Neodiprion lecontei: one gene and its partner. The protein of the gene in region 1 purifies or fractionates together with the protein of each later gene. This does not show direct contact. Links are inferred from orthologs where the notes say so. Each region holds a gene or a part of one and is shown in the gene's direction. Other genes may lie near its edges. The genes, in order: 3-hydroxyacyl-CoA dehydrogenase type-2 and mitochondrial ribonuclease P protein 1 homolog.

Region 1 (8,516 bases):
TCGCGTTGCTCCTCGGCTACACGCAAATCATGTCTCATCAAATCTACCTTCAGTTTATAAGATTCATCCAGTTTATCCATCATCAACTGATGTGCACGTCCGCGAAGATGGTTTTCGAAAGACTGAAATCCATTTAATTTGTGATGATACGAAATAATAATTGAAAGATAATGAATAAATATCGGATTGGTGAATACGAAAGAGATAAGAAATATTCTGATTTATATTATGGAGGACTTAACTTACATAACCGTCCCACATATGCTTATTGCAGACATGACAAAACATGCGGGTCATGGGAACATCGGCATAACGGCTCTCCGCATGCCGAATTTCGCACTTTTTGCCACTTCCTTTTCCTTCCTTATCAGTAGATGCAGTTGCGGTATCTCCATCTTTTGGAGGTTCTGTAGCCGATGTTTTTTCTGGAGACAGAGTGTCTTCGTGTTGGCCCAGATCTTCCGCAGTTTCAGATTTATTTGATAGTGTAGATTCTTTTGTTTTTTCATCTTTCCAATCGCGTTTTTTAGTGTCAACATCGTCGGTTTCTTCACTATTAGCAAAATTAAATAATCTTTAATTACCACATATATTTATTTTTTCAATGTTTGGTTGACTTCTTCATCCCTATTAAAGAGTTAAGAGATCAATTTCGTTAATTGCTTATCAACATGACACTAAAATACATATCTGTTGAAATGTAATTGTATTGAAAAATTCACAATAAAATGTATTAGAAAAATTCAGTAACTTTCTACAGTCAATAAGCTTAACACCAATTGTATCAACAGTTAGTAGTCACTGAGTTCAGTTTTGATCCTATTCAAGAATATACATATAATTACCTTTTTTGCTACACAAATTACATCGCGTTATCAGTGAATTCCAGGGAAGAATAAATATAACAGCTTTTCAACAAGCCGACTATGTAGATGAGGAATTCCATCTTTAAATATATGAAGATTCATTAGACCAACGAAACTCTAAAAGGGTTTGTTTTGCAATAGCCACGTACGATAATTATAAATCTAAACTTGAATCATTAACAGATGCCCATTAACTCGAGGATGAAATCCGACTCGGCCATGAGTGAAGTTTGATTGAAATCCATCTCAAATGTTACTGATAACATTCAAACTTTAAATAATCATAAACGTCAAATACTCAGGCATAATCCATTTAGAGAACGACGCTGCACGCAAAATATTGAACAAACTAAAGAGTTCGAATCCTGAAGCAGACTGAATGATGTTTTATATGCTTGTATGTAATCGACACTTGGATTTCAGTTTAAATAATAACAACAATTGATATAGCAAGTCATCTGTCGAAAATGGAAAATTTGGGAGAATGTCTCATTAGCTGAAGATTATGTAAACTGAAGTGCATACATTCCTTGGATAATCGAAGATTGGCGATTTCGTAGGAGAACTTTCAAATGTAACGAAGATAGAGTATAGGAATGGTTGGATGCAAGGAATCATGGCATTATCAATTTTGATTTTTTTCTCCATTAGCAGATGTAACTGATTTAATTTCCTGCAAAGTTCCATAAACTCTTGCTAAGGGAAAATATTTTTCTTGTTTTACATAGTCAACGTAGATGACAATGGTCCATTGACTAAGATAATGTGGTCGGTAGGAGAGAAAGGTTTGGCGATTGCGTTTTTCGTTTAATTGTTTGGGGAAGAAACACCCAAGAAGATGATAGAGTAAGACTGGCTGAAGACTGAAGAAGCTATTCGCAATCACCAGCTGCTTACCTTTTCAAATCAGATGTATCTGCTTTTTCAATATCAGAAGTCTTAACATCCTGTGATTCCTTTTTGACAGTGGCAGTTTGATTTTGCTTAGAGGCAGGATTTGGTTTAGAAGATTTATCGTTGCGATGCTGATTTTGGTTTCCATTGATACGTTGATTGCCGGACTGGTTTGCACGAGATTGTTGCGCAGATTGGCCACGTCGCCCAGCAGGGCCATCGCGGGCGCGAGGGCCCATCTAATCATTTGGGTTAAATGACCAAATGGTCATAAGAAGTTTCTGATTGGCCGTGAAACGATTCTTCTTGAATCGAATTTGATTCTTATATAACCAAGTGGATATTTAGGGCAGGAAAATACATGCCCGTGTAAGAAGGTTGAGTGTAATAACATAAACCAATTAGGGAAGTTTTTCTCAGTTGATAGAAAGATAAAGAGATTGAATGCGTGTATGTGTGCGCATTTGTGTCTAATACTATCGGAGATTCGTTTTACATGTTTGTGGGGCAACAAAAGCAAATACTTGCAATTTTCCACTTTTGTCTAAGAAACAAATGATGGTTATGCAGATACCATATATCTGCGCATGAGCAGGAGTGAATGTCCACCAAACTACATAAAAGTTGAACAGATCAAAATGAAGACAAGTTTCACATATTCAAAGATTATTCTTGAAGCTTCTATCCAACAATTCTTCGTGAGAACCAGGACTCGAGAGAGGAAGGAAGAGAGAGAAAGAAAAAACACTGTAGTTAAAAGTTTCTTCAACTCGTCACATTGAGGAATGATATCGAAAAATTTACTGTAAAATTCACAAGAATGAAATAATCAGCATATTCATTTCAATTCATACCTTGTAGGGCTCTGAGCGACGGTTCTCCATCGGACGACGCATTGGACGGTCATTAAAACGACCAGGTCCGAAAGGTTGTTGACCTCGAAAATTTGGCCCTGGCCCACCAAAGTTGTTTCCAAGACTTAACAACGAAGGCACCTAACATGTACAGGACAAAACTTAAATCAAAACATTTATTGATGTTCTAAATCAAATTGAGTATGTTACAATAAATTCAAAAATAACGTCAATATAGGTAAAAAAAAAAAAAAAAAAAAAAAAACGGCACTCAAATAGAATGAATACGATTCTCAAATAGTTGAGCTGGAAATGTTCGGAGCTGACTTACTCACTGCTGTTTTCCTTAAAACTCTGAGATTGACAAATCTTTGGAATCCTGAGAGTTAAAATATTACCTGCGGTTGTACATCTTGTTGACCACGGAGTAGATTAGAGAGAAGATTGCTGGCTATCGCAAGTTGAGCCTGCGGTGAAGCAAGAGCAAGGTTGTTGTTTGGTGTAGGCAAAATTCCACGCCCAGGCATCATGCCTCCTTCCCAAGGATTAACCCCGCCCCCAGCATTTCCAGGATTCCGATTGAATCCACGATTCCCGAAAGCATCCCTCTTTGTTCCTCGGTTGAACGACATGTTGTCTGAAACAAAAATACCTCTATATTCGTATCATATCATAGCATGGCAAATAGCAACTTCGTTCTTATGCACCGCTAGTTATAGCTGAGCCAAGGCGAAGCGAACAGCTGCTACCATATGTGATTAAATATTATGTTAAACCTTCAGTATTAGCCTAATGTATGAAAAAACTTTGGTGCACTGGAAAAATAGTTGCTTTTTTTTACTTAAAATAAGATTGCTGAGTCTTTATGCGAATTTCGGCAAGAATATCTTTGAGTGAAAAAATTCCACAGAAATAGATTATGCGGGAAAAAGCTTGAATTCTTCGTGACTTGATTCACGCTATAATAGAAGGAAAAGAAAGAATGTGCATGCTGTGAACCTTGGTAAAAGTAGCAGGTATACTAAAGTTGCAAATGGTTGCCGACAGATAGCTTGGATATAACCAAGACGATTGAAAAGAATGTTTAAAAAAAATGTAAAGTAATCACGAATGCCGAGTCAATGCCGGATGTCTGTGGTTTATTTTTCGTCACACATTAAAAACAACATCTACTCACCAAAAAAATGATATTTTTTCCGTCACAATAATCTCAGGTCAGGTATAAATATCAAATTAAAGATGACACAAACGGAAGCTTCGTGCAGGAAAAAATGGAGGACAACCCGCCGGGTCAATAACGTCCTCAACCCACTCAATTCACTTCAAGTTGGCCAACCTCAACACGATCGCTCATTGGTAGCGGGGAAATAAGAGAGTCAACCATTGCACAAACAAAGTACATATAAGATGAATAATGAAAAATAGAAAGGTATGTTTCGAATTTGGACTATAGAAATAAATCCGGGAACCGAAATCCATTGCTCAAGTTCGACCTGAAAATTTCGTCTTACGTACGAGAACATATTCGCCAATTCGACAGTTAGATAGGTAGCTTTAATAGGTAGATTCCAAAGCGTCTCTATACCGAACATTAACATGGCCGATATTTACGGGTTCTGTTTCGTTATTTTATCGATATTACGTGCAAAATAAAGTGACAATGTGACTATTATTTAGATGTGATTTTGCTTCCGATAAAACCTACAAATACATTCTGTTTAGAAACATTTTCATGTTGCTTACCTCATTTCTGGCCACGCCTATTCAATAGTTGTCCAATTGTCTGTGAATTACTTTCGTGTCTCAAATCACCAGTGATTAGTGAGTGGAGAATCGACCCTTCGAGATACAACACATCACACGCGCTAGTTAGACATGTAGTAAAATCACGGAGTAGTAAAGTGTAATTGAAGGACACGTGGTTTGTAGAAGTGGAAAAAATAAACAGCTTAATCATGTTTTGATAAGAACTGAATAATTATCGTCAGTACAACGAGAACGATCTAGTTAAGAACCAGTATCATTTTGATCCGTCATTGTTGAACCAACTTTTCTACCGCAGACGGAACATGTTGAAGGTATGATAAATTTTAACTAAGTCAATTATGTCTGACCAACAGCCGAACGCCGGTATGTTCATCTTTTTTGAAAAATGCATATTGAATTATGAATGTAACGCTTATCGTTGAAAGAGTGAATTCTCACGATGCTTAGATTACCCACCTTCCATCCCTGCAAATAAAAATTACTAGATGGTCGATTGTTGTAATAATCGCGCCTAAGAGTGCAATAGTTCAATAATATATTAGGCGTTTTCTCATTTTGTTCGACCTATGAACTTGACTGGGGGGCAAAAATCTGCAAGTTTTTTCTGCGACGATTGAGTACTTTATTTGGGCTTTTATCAATTGTCTCAACAGGGAGCTGTTGCTTTAGTGACTGGAGGGGGATCCGGCCTGGGTTTGGCGACGGTCGAAAGATTTGTGAAGCAAGGGTCAAAAGTTGTCATTGCTGATCTTGCCACATCTAAATCACATGAGATAGCAGATCAGCTTGGACCATCTGCAGCATTTTCCCCAACTGATGTAAATTTTCAATTGAATCATAAGTTGATGTTTCAAAAATTATAGTTTATAATATATTAGGTATGATCTTTATTGAAAATATTGAAATGAACAACATATTCCCAGGTAAGATCAGAGGAAGATGTCAAAACAGCATTGAACTTGGTGAAGGAAAAGTTTGGTAAATTAGATGTGGTCGTAAACTGTGCTGGTATCGGGATAGCTTATAAAACATACAATTTCAATAAGAAGAGGGCTCATGAATTGAGTGATTTTGAAAATGTACTGATGGTCAACACTGTCGGAACATTTAACGTAATTCGATTGGCAGCTGGTCTTATCGGCGAGAATGTACCTAACGAAGATGGGCAGCGGGGAGTCATAGTCAACACGTCTAGCATAGCAGCTTTCGATGGACAGATCGGCCAGGCTGCGTATGCAGCAAGCAAAGCTGCTGTGGCTGGCATGACTCTTCCCATTGCCAGAGATCTTTCAACTCAAGGTATTCGCGTTGTGACTATTGCACCTGGGTTGTTCGATACGCCACTGTTACAAGGACTGCCTGAGAAAGTGAGAAATTTTCTGGCAAACTCGATACCCTTTCCTCCAAGACTGGGAACTCCTGCTGAATATGCACAATTTGTAGAATCGGTTATCGAGAGTCCAGTTCTTAATGGCGAAGTCATAAGACTGGACGGTGCCTTGAGAATGCAGGCATAAAGTAAATGGGTTCTCCTTTTATTACAGATCTATTTATTACGTTGAATAAATTATGTGAATAATTGTTATTAATAAATAAATGGATCTGAGCTAGCAGCTCGAGTCATACAGACATTGATTGAGATATTCCACTTGAAATGCGGAAAGCCACCACCCGTACAATCCTAATCCCACAAGACTTATGAAGGCGTTCGGAAAATTATCTGAGAGCTATATTACAGGTATCGACAATTCTCTTTATTACTTGAAGTCTGTATATTAATATCTTGTAAATATGTTGCAAAAATCGCAACTTACTTTTTAACTATTTTCACCTAGAGTATTAGCTAGCAAAAATTGTGTACATAATATTAACATAAAAATATTTAGTTACAGTATGATTAGTCTTTTTTTCCAAGAACCTCAGGAGAATTCCAAAATTCCAACAAGTGCTGAAATTTGTACTGATGATTTTTCGGAAGAGCCAATTTTTCTGTTAAGGCGGGACATTCTGTTGTTTCTCCGAGGCCAGGTCAATCCTAGGCATTAGATTCTTTCAAGTTTTGAAGTTTTTCTAATTGATCTGGTTGTAGTTCGTCTGGAATGCTCGCTCTTCCTCCAACGATTACCTTTTCTTGGACAATGTCTGGCATATCTGCCACTTGAGAATCAATTTCTGTGTCACGCGTCACCAAAGACTGTGAGTTCTCAGCAGTGCTGGGCCCAGATGTTGAATCCGCCTCACTACCAGAGCTGCTGCTTACTGGAAAGGGGGCTGAATCAGCAGAGAAATCGTCGACGACAGATTTTTCATCAGTTTCCTCTACTACCTCCACCTCGTCTCGTTGTTGTACGTCAACTTGTTCCTGAAGGTCACTTTCTGCTGTTTTCTTAACTGAATCTTTTGAAGATTTTTTAGCTTTGTCCTTTGTTTCCTCGGAAGCTTCGTCCCCATTACTAGGAAACGATCGCTCGATTTCTTCCATAGGCGTAGCTGCGGTAATAACTATCTGTGCTACACCCAAACCAAACTCGTCAGTTTCTTGAGAGGACACTATCCTTTGAACTTCCACATCAGATTCTTGCTCTTGTTGATTCTCATCTTCCTACGATCCAAAGTTAAGTCATAATTTACAATATGTTAGACAGGATCTATAGCTTTATGCGCAATTTCTAAAGTGGAATAAGATTCTGTTGAGACATTTCCTCTACTGTCTGATATTATACACATTTGTGTGCACGATTGTTTTTACTACTCTGACTTGACTAATGTTTTGGTCCAATATTATTTCTTACAATTTTGTTAGCCAAGATTCCAGTGATACATCACTGGATTTGTCTGAACATTTTTTTTTTTACTGATGTCAAAATCTTACTTGGGAGTTATTTCAGTATAATTCTTGATTTACCTGAGGAACCGATTCATCAGTAACTTCCACAACTTGAGCAGCGAGAGAATATTTATTATTGAAAATGTAAACACATGAAAAACATCGGCTACCACATGAATAAATAAAAAGAGAACGAGAGAGAAAATAAAATGATATTCTATGAACTTGCATACCAAAAGAAAAGAGTATTCTATGTAAGTTATTTTATCGATAAAAATGATTATTTGAAAAATTTACTTCGTTGCCAAAAATTGATGAATTCTAGGACTTCAACTTTGGTACTCTTCAAGTACATACAGGATCCCAACGAAAAAAATCAACGTGCACTCGGTGTATTTGTCATTTTTGAAAGTACCTATTATTCCTGGTGGCTGGGTATCAACATCGTCTCCAAACTGTGACCCGTAATGGTCGTGTTGATTCTTAGATAATTTGATTGCAAAGCCCTGTTGATCGCTCATCACTTGACTCGGCATATTTTCAGAAAACTCTACACAAACAGAGCGATGAGGAATAAAGGAATTTCATAGGTCTTTACTGTAGGATAAATGTGAATGTCATCTTTGTTAGACGTTCACTTAGTTAATAATATTTGTTATTACCAGGTGGAATAGGTTGAGTGATGTCATCAGATAACAAAAACTCTGGTATTTCAGGTGGTGTAAATACAGGTGGTGCTGAACTTGGCGGTGTGTTGTCCTCCTGTAATGAAATCAAAATGATTTCACTATTTCTATGAGTTTTACATGTCATATCTTGATTTAGATTGGTCTCAAAATTTTCTATCGAATCAAATCCTGTTCAAAGTTTACCTGCGGTGTCAAGGGCGATCCATCAGCGGCACATGGTTCAACTATGAGAGATGGAAAAATGCCACATTGGCCACGTAGTTCTCCTTCCCACCAGCCATCATCGACATCGTGTGGTTCTTTTCTTAAAACTCGCATCACATCTCCTTCCATGAAACTGAGCTCTTCAGCACTGTTGGCATCATAATCGTACAACGCTATGCAGTACTGTGATGTACCTGGAATGCATTTTAAATGTAGGATTGCTCTACTAGTAACACAGTCCAAGTCAGAAATGATTAATGAATATCATTAATAATTACCATTTATGTGGGTTTCTATGACTGTGTTTTCAGTTGTGTCCTGTAAATTCATATCAGGGTCAACAGCGTCATGGTCATCAATAGTATAATCTACTGAGGAGAATGAGATTTGCTGAACAAGAGTTCCAGGTCCTTGT
Region 2 (8,778 bases), on another chromosome or scaffold:
TCAATTATTTATGTAAGCAACGTGTCGTGTCTGTGTAATTTTGTAATCTAGTTGTTCATGTCTAAGAGGTAAGTAAGATGTAATACGGTGTTTATATCCCTCGCGAATGTAGAAACACCCAGAAGTCTACATACTATGATCCCGAACGAACATCTGAATAATTTCAATTACCAGCTGATGTGAAATTTCCTCTAAATCGTGATTTGTAAATCAGACATAAATACGTGGTTGATAATTGGAAAGCTGGTCCACTCCCTCCTACGTATCCTGTCCTAATCAATATTCGTTCAACTACGCGTCTGAAAGCGAATTTTGACGATTTCAGTGCAGCGGACAAAGCCAGGCTCAGGGTAAAGCAGCATGGCAGGGATGCAGCAGACCATCGCCCCTTCCTCTAACACCCGTATCACCGATCGGTTCACGCGCCGGCGACGGTCTCAACTACAAGACGAAACAGTGCGAGGCACACCGACGATGGATGAAAAGAAACAGGGTAGGTAACTTGGCGTATTTTCAAGCAACGCTTACCAGTTCATTTCCAATCGCAACGAACGCAACAAAAGACTTGGAAGTCGAAAACTATTCTATTCCCAGATACGGGACGCCAGCTACTGCTACGGAAGCAGCGGAGAGGAAGAAGAAGACGGGCAGGAGTGGGGTGGCGGTCGACGGAGAGGTGAAGTTAGCGCAGCAGTGAACACGGTGCTCTATGCCGGACTTGGGACGACGGCTTTGGGTCTGGTGATATCGTTTGTGGGCACGGGTGAAAAAGGGTTCCAGAGTTCGGAATTGAGGCTGGTGGGTCCGTCTCTCCTGTGCGCAGGCTTGCTGTGTTGCCTGTTGCGAGTGTTGCTGTGTCTGTGCCTGTGCCACTGCGGTAAATGCCAGTGGAGTTCGTCGTCGTCGTCCGCTGTGGCGAAAGGTGATAAATTGGAAAAGGCTTCGGCGAAGGAGCAGAACAATGTTCCGCCGGCTCCTTCTCTTCTAACTGCTTCCCTCCTGCCGCCGCTCAGATCAGCTGCCGCGACCGTTTCTCCTCCCCCTCCAGCGGCGAAAGGGCGAGAGCTTCTTCTGTCGGCGGCTCAACTATCCGAATGACCGTCTACTTCAGGGTCCAAATCGTAGAGAAGAAGAATGCTTGGAAAAGCCATCCCGCCACCAAGTTTCCCAGATATACTCTCGACTAAACAGATGCCTCTGACAATGTTTTTTCTACGATTATCCAAATAATCTCTTTATAGTGTAACGGAACGGAGTGATATGTTATACGTACATTAATATGACAAATTCGAATTGACTACACCTAAGCCGCGTGTTCTTTTTCTAAAGATTATTATTGTTAATCCAATTCAATATAATCTATTGATATTAAATATCCGTTATTACTTTTTAAGCTAAATTGCATAAGCAATAAGAATTTGATTTTTTTTTTAACTCACTAAGCCTGCTCTATAATCTAGGTGCGGCACCATTTTTGCAAATTATACTATAATAGGTATACAATCACGACTGAGCTTGACAAATAATCGCGTCAAGCTGGAAAATCAAAGTTATCAAATATACCATGGACTTGTCTCATAATTTTTAATTGTTTGTTCTATTTTTTTGATTGTTCTTCTTTTGGTTCATTATAAATATGTGTATGTACTATACAACTTTTCTGCTTTTTTTTTTTTAATTCAAACTCTTATTCAAAGAGTCCGGAGATTTGAAAATTAGATGCTACTGCCCATATACTTCCGTGACGTTAATACCATTGAAATTAGGGCAAATTAAATTTTCTCACATATATGAAAAAATTATGCCTGTTGGTTAAAAGAAAAAAATTTGACATGTATACATACGTACATATATATATATATATCATACCGCTACGTTAATTTATCACATTGCTAAGAGTAGAACAAAGTTGAGGAAAAGAATAATAATTATAACAATAATAATCAGCACTGGTGTGTACGAATAGACAAGCAAAAGATATTAGATACCAATATCTACTGCCTAGCGATTTTAGGGAGTATGTTATATATACTATGATTGAAATAATATAGGAATTTTATTTATAAAAGAATCTTCCTTCGCTTGAAAAAAAAGGAACCAGACAAAAGAAAAATTCATGGTTATAAAGAAAAATTGTTGTTACTTTCATAAGAAGCCGGAGGCGGCGCGTAGATAATTAATATTTCAGTAAGTGTGACATATCTTAAAAGAAAGAAAAAAAAGGCAAGAAAGCAGAAATCATAGTGATGATAATAAATGAAATCTTTATAAATAAAAAAAAAAAAAAAAATATGAAAAAACGGAACTTCCCCCCTACCATTCTTTTAATCATAGACATATTTCGAAAAAAGACGAAGTAGCAGGTCTTTAGAGTTCATCAATTCAGGCCCCTGCTTCAATCTTGTGAAATTAAATGTCAGCCTTGTAAAATATGTATAAGATACCTTAGCGTATTACTCAGGAAAGTTGAAATTGCATTTGATCAGGAGGTGCGTAGCTGTATATAACGGGAGCATCCGAAGTTGTGGCATTGCCAGTAGTCGTAGCAATGGTGAACAATTGGTCGTCGTAAATGGTGCTTTGCTGATCAACCGACTTTCCATTACCGGGCACAACGCCCGGACTAGATCCCGGATTATCGCCCTTGGTAGCCTCTCTATACTTCTGTAGATAGACTTTGAGTGGCTCTACGTAATTGTCAAAGCCGAGGGTGGTCATAGCAAACAGTATATCCTCTCCGTTAATGGTCTTTCTCTTTTCCATGTGGCACCTGTCGCTCGCTTCGGATGTTATGAAAGATATAAACTCAGATACGCATTCCTGAACACATTCCCTGGCATCCTTCGCTATCTTGCCAGCTTCCGGTATTGCTCGTTTCATTATTTTGGCTACGTTAGCAATCGGCAGAAAGCGATCCTGCTCCCGCAAAGGACACCCACCACCTCTTCCCTGCAGAGGATCTCCTCCTCCGTGGTTCGAGTCGTCTGTATTTTCAGGATCATCTGTCGCCGGTGATAATTATATGATAAATTGCATAGCTACTAATTGTTGAAGCACCGTCAACGACATCGTTTTGTTTTTGGAAACGCATTAAGGTCTTCGTACTCTACAAAAAATGTTCAACGTACCTTCCAAGTCATCGGACTGGACACCGATATAAGAAGCTCCCACGCCTCCACCGCCAAGAAACGCTGAAGTGCCAAGTGGCCCACCGTCATCGCCACTTTCCCCGCTGTTTTCCATATTCGGTATTATCCTTAGGCTGTGAAATAGGTTAACGAGAATTAGTCCGTCATTGACAATCTCATTTTATGCATTTTCAATAGAATAACTTCGCTTTGAGCATATTTGACGTTTCTACGTCAAGCATAAAAGCGTAAATAAAGGCATCTAGGTTAGGTTATACTATTATTGTCAACGTGTAATTATCCAACAGTTTGCTCGATGTGAGTTAGGGTGATTTAATCTGTTCTGTTCAACTTACGGCTGTATTTCCTCGTCTGTTTATACACGAAAGGATAAAAAATTGTCCGTATCAGTTTTGTATTTGCTAACACAATTTGCAATATCCTCGATACGCGTCCGTCAAGCAGAGTCGACAACCACCAACAGGTGACGCAGTGAGTCTGGCGTAGCCTCAGCATTTGGACTGTTTTCACGGGATCCGTAGTGTCTTAAATTGTATTCTACTCCGTGGTCCGCTTTCACGCACTTCAACGATTTTCCGTATTACACAAAACAAAATAAGCAGACGAAGGCGTTCGAAGTATTAAAACTCGCGAACCCTTTTCTTGTAAACTGCCAAACTACAAAAGTATAATCACGTTGGCTCGATTATCAAGAGCTGTCAATTCGGAATATTTAGAGAGGAGTAATAAATTGGAAAGAATGTTAGGTTAAGAAATAATCGCGGTGCATGCGGCAAATTCAACTTGGCTACAAATGAATCGAAAATCCTGATTTTTTGATAGCTATAAAACTTCCAAATTAGCCAATATGTTTAATCGAGTACTGCGTTGTCTGACATTGACGAAAAAGCCGCTGAGGTGGACCGCAAGACGAAATTGCCGGCCGGCGATCGAGGCACAGCTGAGTGCCTGCGATATTCTCCACACGTCGAAAAGACGTTTTTGTACGAAAGTCGGCAAGATATCCGAAGAAGGCGAGACACAGGAGAATCTGGAGAAAAATGTCACAATATCTGTAAGCGGCGAACAGCTTCAAGCTATGATGGACTCGGACCCGGAGATGGAGAAACTTTACAAAGTGATCCAGCTCGAAGTCGAGGTGATGAGACAGAACGGCAGACTGATACCCAAGGAGCTAAAGCCTCAACATTGGTTGCAATTGATCAGGCATGAAACGAGATCTGCGAGAAGGTAATTTTGTTTAATATGTTTTTACATTAAAAATGATCGGAGATAAATAAGAACTTGTCAATTTCAATTTGCAGTCGATATCTGATGTACCTCTTCAAGCTTGAAATGACCCAAGAAAACTTTAGGAAGAAAAAAGAACTAGCCAGGATAGAGAGGGAACAGAAGCTGCAGGAACATGGGAGGGAAGAAGTCGATCAGATGGCGTATAGGCTGTTTAAAAACACAATTTTCCTGCGAATATACGACACAGCGATGAATCGCTTCTACCACTCGCGTATGATGATGGCCAAGATCCATGGTCCTGAAGTGATAATAGACCTCGGATACGACAAACACATGACAGTGCGCGAGTCGTCAGAATGCGCCAAACAGCTCGTCTTCTTGTTTGCGGAGAATCGCGTACTCCGAGATCCATTTTACATCACCTTTTGCAATGTAAATAAATTTTCGGTAGTTATGGAAAAGTTTTACAGATCTGTACCAAATGCCAACGAGCCTGATTTTCCACTAGAAATAAAGGAATGTTCGTACACCGAGCTCTATGACAAAAAGAAGCTGGTCTACTTGACGCCGCACTGCAACACCGAAATGACAGAGTACGAACCGGACTCCATCTACATAATAGGCGGAATGGTGGACAAGACAAACAACCAGCCCCTCTCTTTGGCAAAGGCAAAAAAAGAGGGTCTGAGAATGGCCAAATTCCCTCTAGACAAGTACTTGCTATGGGGTTCAGGCTCTGGCAAACGTTTGCCACTTAATCATGTGCTAAGAATCTTGGCGGATATCAGGACCACCGGAGATTGGCATAAGGCCTTGAAACACGTCCCTCTTAGGAAGTTGGAAAGGCCTCTTGACCAATTACAAACTGGCAAAGTTCAGTTTCCGCCCCAAACTCCCTCATGGGTTAATACTGAGCTTCAAAGAAAAAGACAATACGTGCCTACGAAAACGAAAATCGGACACTCGCTGAACACGTCATACACTTTTCGAGACAGACAAAAGAAAAGTTCGTAATAAATAACGGATTGTAAATAATGTGACCAGGATTGTTGGTTATGACAAATGAGAACAATATACTGATCATTAGTGCAGACAGGCTAACACTTACTTCCACCTTTATATTATCAATGAAATCCTGCGGCACGGTTACCTCTAATAAAAAAATTCCTGTAACAAAAATGAAATAATTTAGATATATCATTCAATTAATACCACAGTGTATTTTTATGTTTTGTCAGTGTACAGACACCATATTTTTTTTTTCTAAGGCCCCAGAGGTACAATTGTTTTCCAGATTTATTATATTAGCTGCGTTTGATATGTACAATTTTATATCGTGTCTGTGGATCTTTTTTCAGTCACATGATGCAGGAACGATTGCTTCGAAGAGTGGAAAAAAAGCACATGTTTGATCAGTCTTTTGGACGGAAAGAACTCTGCTCTTAAGTACGCACTACTCCATACGCATGTACTCACATAGGTATATCTACTCGAACGAAGATCTCAAGCTTAGAAGAACGTGAGCTAATATGAAGATAATATGACACCACGGCAATTCGACACTTCAAATTTGAACTAAATATGTAGAATATCCTAATCATTCTTAATAGTGATGATGTATATTGCTTATCATCCCAGAGAAAAGTTTTTCAAGGAGATACAGTGTAGACTTGATAAAAATTAACGATTATAAAATATACTCGCGTCTATCAATAATGTCACGATAATAAATAATAATAAAACAATCTTTATACGAATAAAACAATAAACCGGAAGAGGTTGTTGTTGCTTGCTGAAAAATTTCGAGTCACCTTCTAATAAAATATTCCCCGACGCATCGTCACTCGTCCACCAAAATTTATTAATCCAAGTCGATTTCGCAAGCTAGTGAAAATTCGTTTTTCAAATGATTTCCTGGTGCAAAGATGTAAAATGTCACCGAAAATGGAACTGATCTACAAGGGAAAAAACCAAGCAGACCATCCGACAAAACTCCAATGGTTATACGTTGTAAAGACGGGAATTTCGGACTATTGCAAGGTGACATGGTCAAAAAAAAAAAGCAACTGATAAACGGACGAACAGAGCAATAACATCGATGAACTATGTAAAAACCGATCCACTTGCTTGAAAACTACGCTTAATAGATACATGAGGATAAAGCTGACGCCATTCGTGTATCTTCATATCGCTTATACCTTCGCAAAAGCTGAGATCCATCATTTCCAGCTGAGTGCAATATAATAAAAATCGTAGACATATTTCGGGAGTAAGAGATCTTGCGCCAAGGAAATCCAACTGTCTGAGTTTAGAGCAGGCTAAAAACGGCTCGAGGTCACGATCGGTGAGGCCGCGAAGAGCAGCGAGAAAGACCTTCTCCAGATTCTGACAGGACGCAGCCAATGCTCTTAGCGACTCCCCTGGAGCTCCCATGCCTAGGCTGAAATTAGTCAAACTTCGAAGTTCCCGTTTTTTAAAAAATTCTCCTTCATACTAACCACCATCCGAAGTCGACCTCTCTAAGCATCGTGCAACGAGCGAGGGCTCTAACTCCGTGGGGCGTCAGGCTATGGCTCTTCCAGAAATCAACGCTTTCGAGGTGAGGACACGAGTAGGCAACCTCCATCGCGATATCGTCCATGTTATGAACGTGGTCGCAAGCGGCAAGGTTCAGGTGGCGCATGCCTCGATTTCCCTTAAGAATCGCGCACAGCGACGGCGTCTGAATCAACGTTCTGTAAAGTTCGAGACGTTCGAGCTGCTGCAGGTTTGCCAGAGGCCAAAATCCGTCCTTAGTTATCTCCACGCAGTTGCGAAGGCAAAGTTCTGTGCGTCGAACGATAACGGTCAATTAATCTTTTACGATTGAGAGATGAAAACGTAAATACCTTTTAGGTTTCGGCAGATCATGGAAACCTTCAGTATCACGGAATTGTTGACAAACTGGCAGGAATTGAATCTAAGGTGCGTCAACTGATTTCCGCTGGACGTGAGAAATTCCTGAATGTCTTTAGATGTTATCGTGTTGTAGTTGCCGCACCAGGAGAGATCTAGACGCTGAAGATATTGGCACCTCGAGGCCAGCGTTTCAAGCGCGCTTGTGTCAATACAGTACCAATATGGTTTCAAGTTTAGGCTGGTATAGAGAAGTGCATCTCTTGCTATATTGTTGAAATGCCGATTAACTTGACAACAGCGACAGAGAGATCTGAGATCGAGATTTCTAAGAATCTTCAGTACCGCTTCGTCCTGCAGGTTTGTGAAATAAATGCTTGTAATTGAATTATACTAAAAATTTGTGGCTAATTTATTTCATTACTGTTCTATTAAGAAATGTATTAAAACGGAAAAAACGCTTACGGGCAACACAGAAAAACTGCCGCAAATATCACCCGACTGTAACGAACTCCCAGTCTTGTTTCCAGCCACTGCACTTCTTGAGGAAGTTGAAAGATCGATGTCCTGCATCAATTTTGGAAAGTCTTCCTGGAGAAACCTGTGCAGACTGCTAACTGCTTCTTCGATTGGCGGTATGCAGTGGTAGTCAGTTCCTAGCCTGTCAATTATGGTCCCCTTGTGTATCCTACCCGTAACATTTCTGCAAAATCAAAAGTTTGCCAGTTCGAGTTTGGAAATGACGAGAAACACGGTGCAAAACTGGATCACATACCTGTTCGAGAGTTGACAGTGCTTGTAAAACGTGTTTTTCAGCTCCCTTAAATCTTTGTGTGTCTGTAAATAATCTGGCGTCAGATTATAAACGTCATCGCAATCAAGGGTACTGTCGTTGAGCTGCCGAAGCAAGGTGCTCAAGTTTTTATTGTTGAATCTAAAGTGGGGTTGAATAAATTCCGAAGTGCCGATGAGGAGGACGGCATCCAGCTCTGTGTAATAGTCCTGCTTACTGTGGTTGAACTCCAGTCTAAGCATCTTGGTCTTGAAACAGCATGGCTGTAGAGGGGGAGAAAATATCCTTGGCTTGTGTGAAACTACCTGCGGCAGCCCTCTCCAAAGACGGCTCCACTTTCCGCTGCTATCGGCAGCCCAAATTCCAACAACGCTGCCCGGGTTATAAGTCTCATATATGGACACTCTGATTGGATAAACCTCACGATCGTACGCCACATCTGTAACAGGGTTCAATTATCAGTAATAAAGAATATGGATCGTCATTGTTGTTGTTGTGGTCTCCATACCTATGTAGTCCTGGCAGACGACATTGTCATTGTTCTGCGGCATGTAATCAACTAGTCTGGATGGCGCCTTGTCCCACCAGCAGCCGTACGTTCTCTAGAAATAATTATAACAGATTACAGAGATACTGAGGTTAAGCGGATGAGAATTATACCGGCAAATGATGTCTTACCATGACAAATGCCTGAGGAAAATCACCATA

The links.
Region 2: the proteins of 3-hydroxyacyl-CoA dehydrogenase type-2 (region 1) and mitochondrial ribonuclease P protein 1 homolog purify together in Homo sapiens (co-immunoprecipitation; 3 studies listed by BioGRID and IntAct, counting the BioPlex papers as one, with this or other methods). This does not show direct contact. The link is inferred for Neodiprion lecontei from reciprocal best matches to the Homo sapiens genes HSD17B10 and TRMT10C.

Annotation. Positions count from the first base shown.
Region 1 is NC_060261.1:5,801,574-5,810,089, forward strand, and holds 3-hydroxyacyl-CoA dehydrogenase type-2, read left to right. Parts: upstream 1-4,419; 5' UTR 4,420-4,683; coding exon 4,684-4,692; intron 4,693-5,034; coding exon 5,035-5,199; intron 5,200-5,304; coding exon 5,305-5,898; 3' UTR 5,899-6,016; downstream 6,017-8,516. Other genes in the region: zinc finger protein on ecdysone puffs, read right to left, coding at 1-122, 247-553, 1,764-1,999, 2,615-2,755, 3,013-3,246; protein nervous wreck, read right to left, coding at 6,417-6,983, 7,287-7,318, 7,624-7,758, 7,871-7,970, 8,081-8,295, 8,380-8,516. UniProt on the Homo sapiens protein: Mitochondrial dehydrogenase involved in pathways of fatty acid, branched-chain amino acid and steroid metabolism. Acts as (S)-3-hydroxyacyl-CoA dehydrogenase in mitochondrial fatty acid beta-oxidation, a major degradation pathway of fatty acids.
Region 2 is NC_060266.1:958,961-967,738, forward strand, and holds mitochondrial ribonuclease P protein 1 homolog, read left to right. Parts: upstream 1-3,690; 5' UTR 3,691-3,996; coding exon 3,997-4,379; intron 4,380-4,453; coding exon 4,454-5,396; 3' UTR 5,397-6,432; downstream 6,433-8,778. Other genes in the region: uncharacterized protein LOC107219454, read left to right, coding at 326-493, 595-1,098; nuclear transcription factor Y subunit B-1, read right to left, coding at 2,458-3,002, 3,129-3,243; F-box/LRR-repeat protein 4, read right to left, coding at 6,486-6,822, 6,881-7,208, 7,271-7,631, 7,743-7,980, 8,053-8,509, 8,579-8,672, 8,749-8,778. UniProt on the Homo sapiens protein: Mitochondrial tRNA N(1)-methyltransferase involved in mitochondrial tRNA maturation. Component of mitochondrial ribonuclease P, a complex composed of TRMT10C/MRPP1, HSD17B10/MRPP2 and PRORP/MRPP3, which cleaves tRNA molecules in their 5'-ends.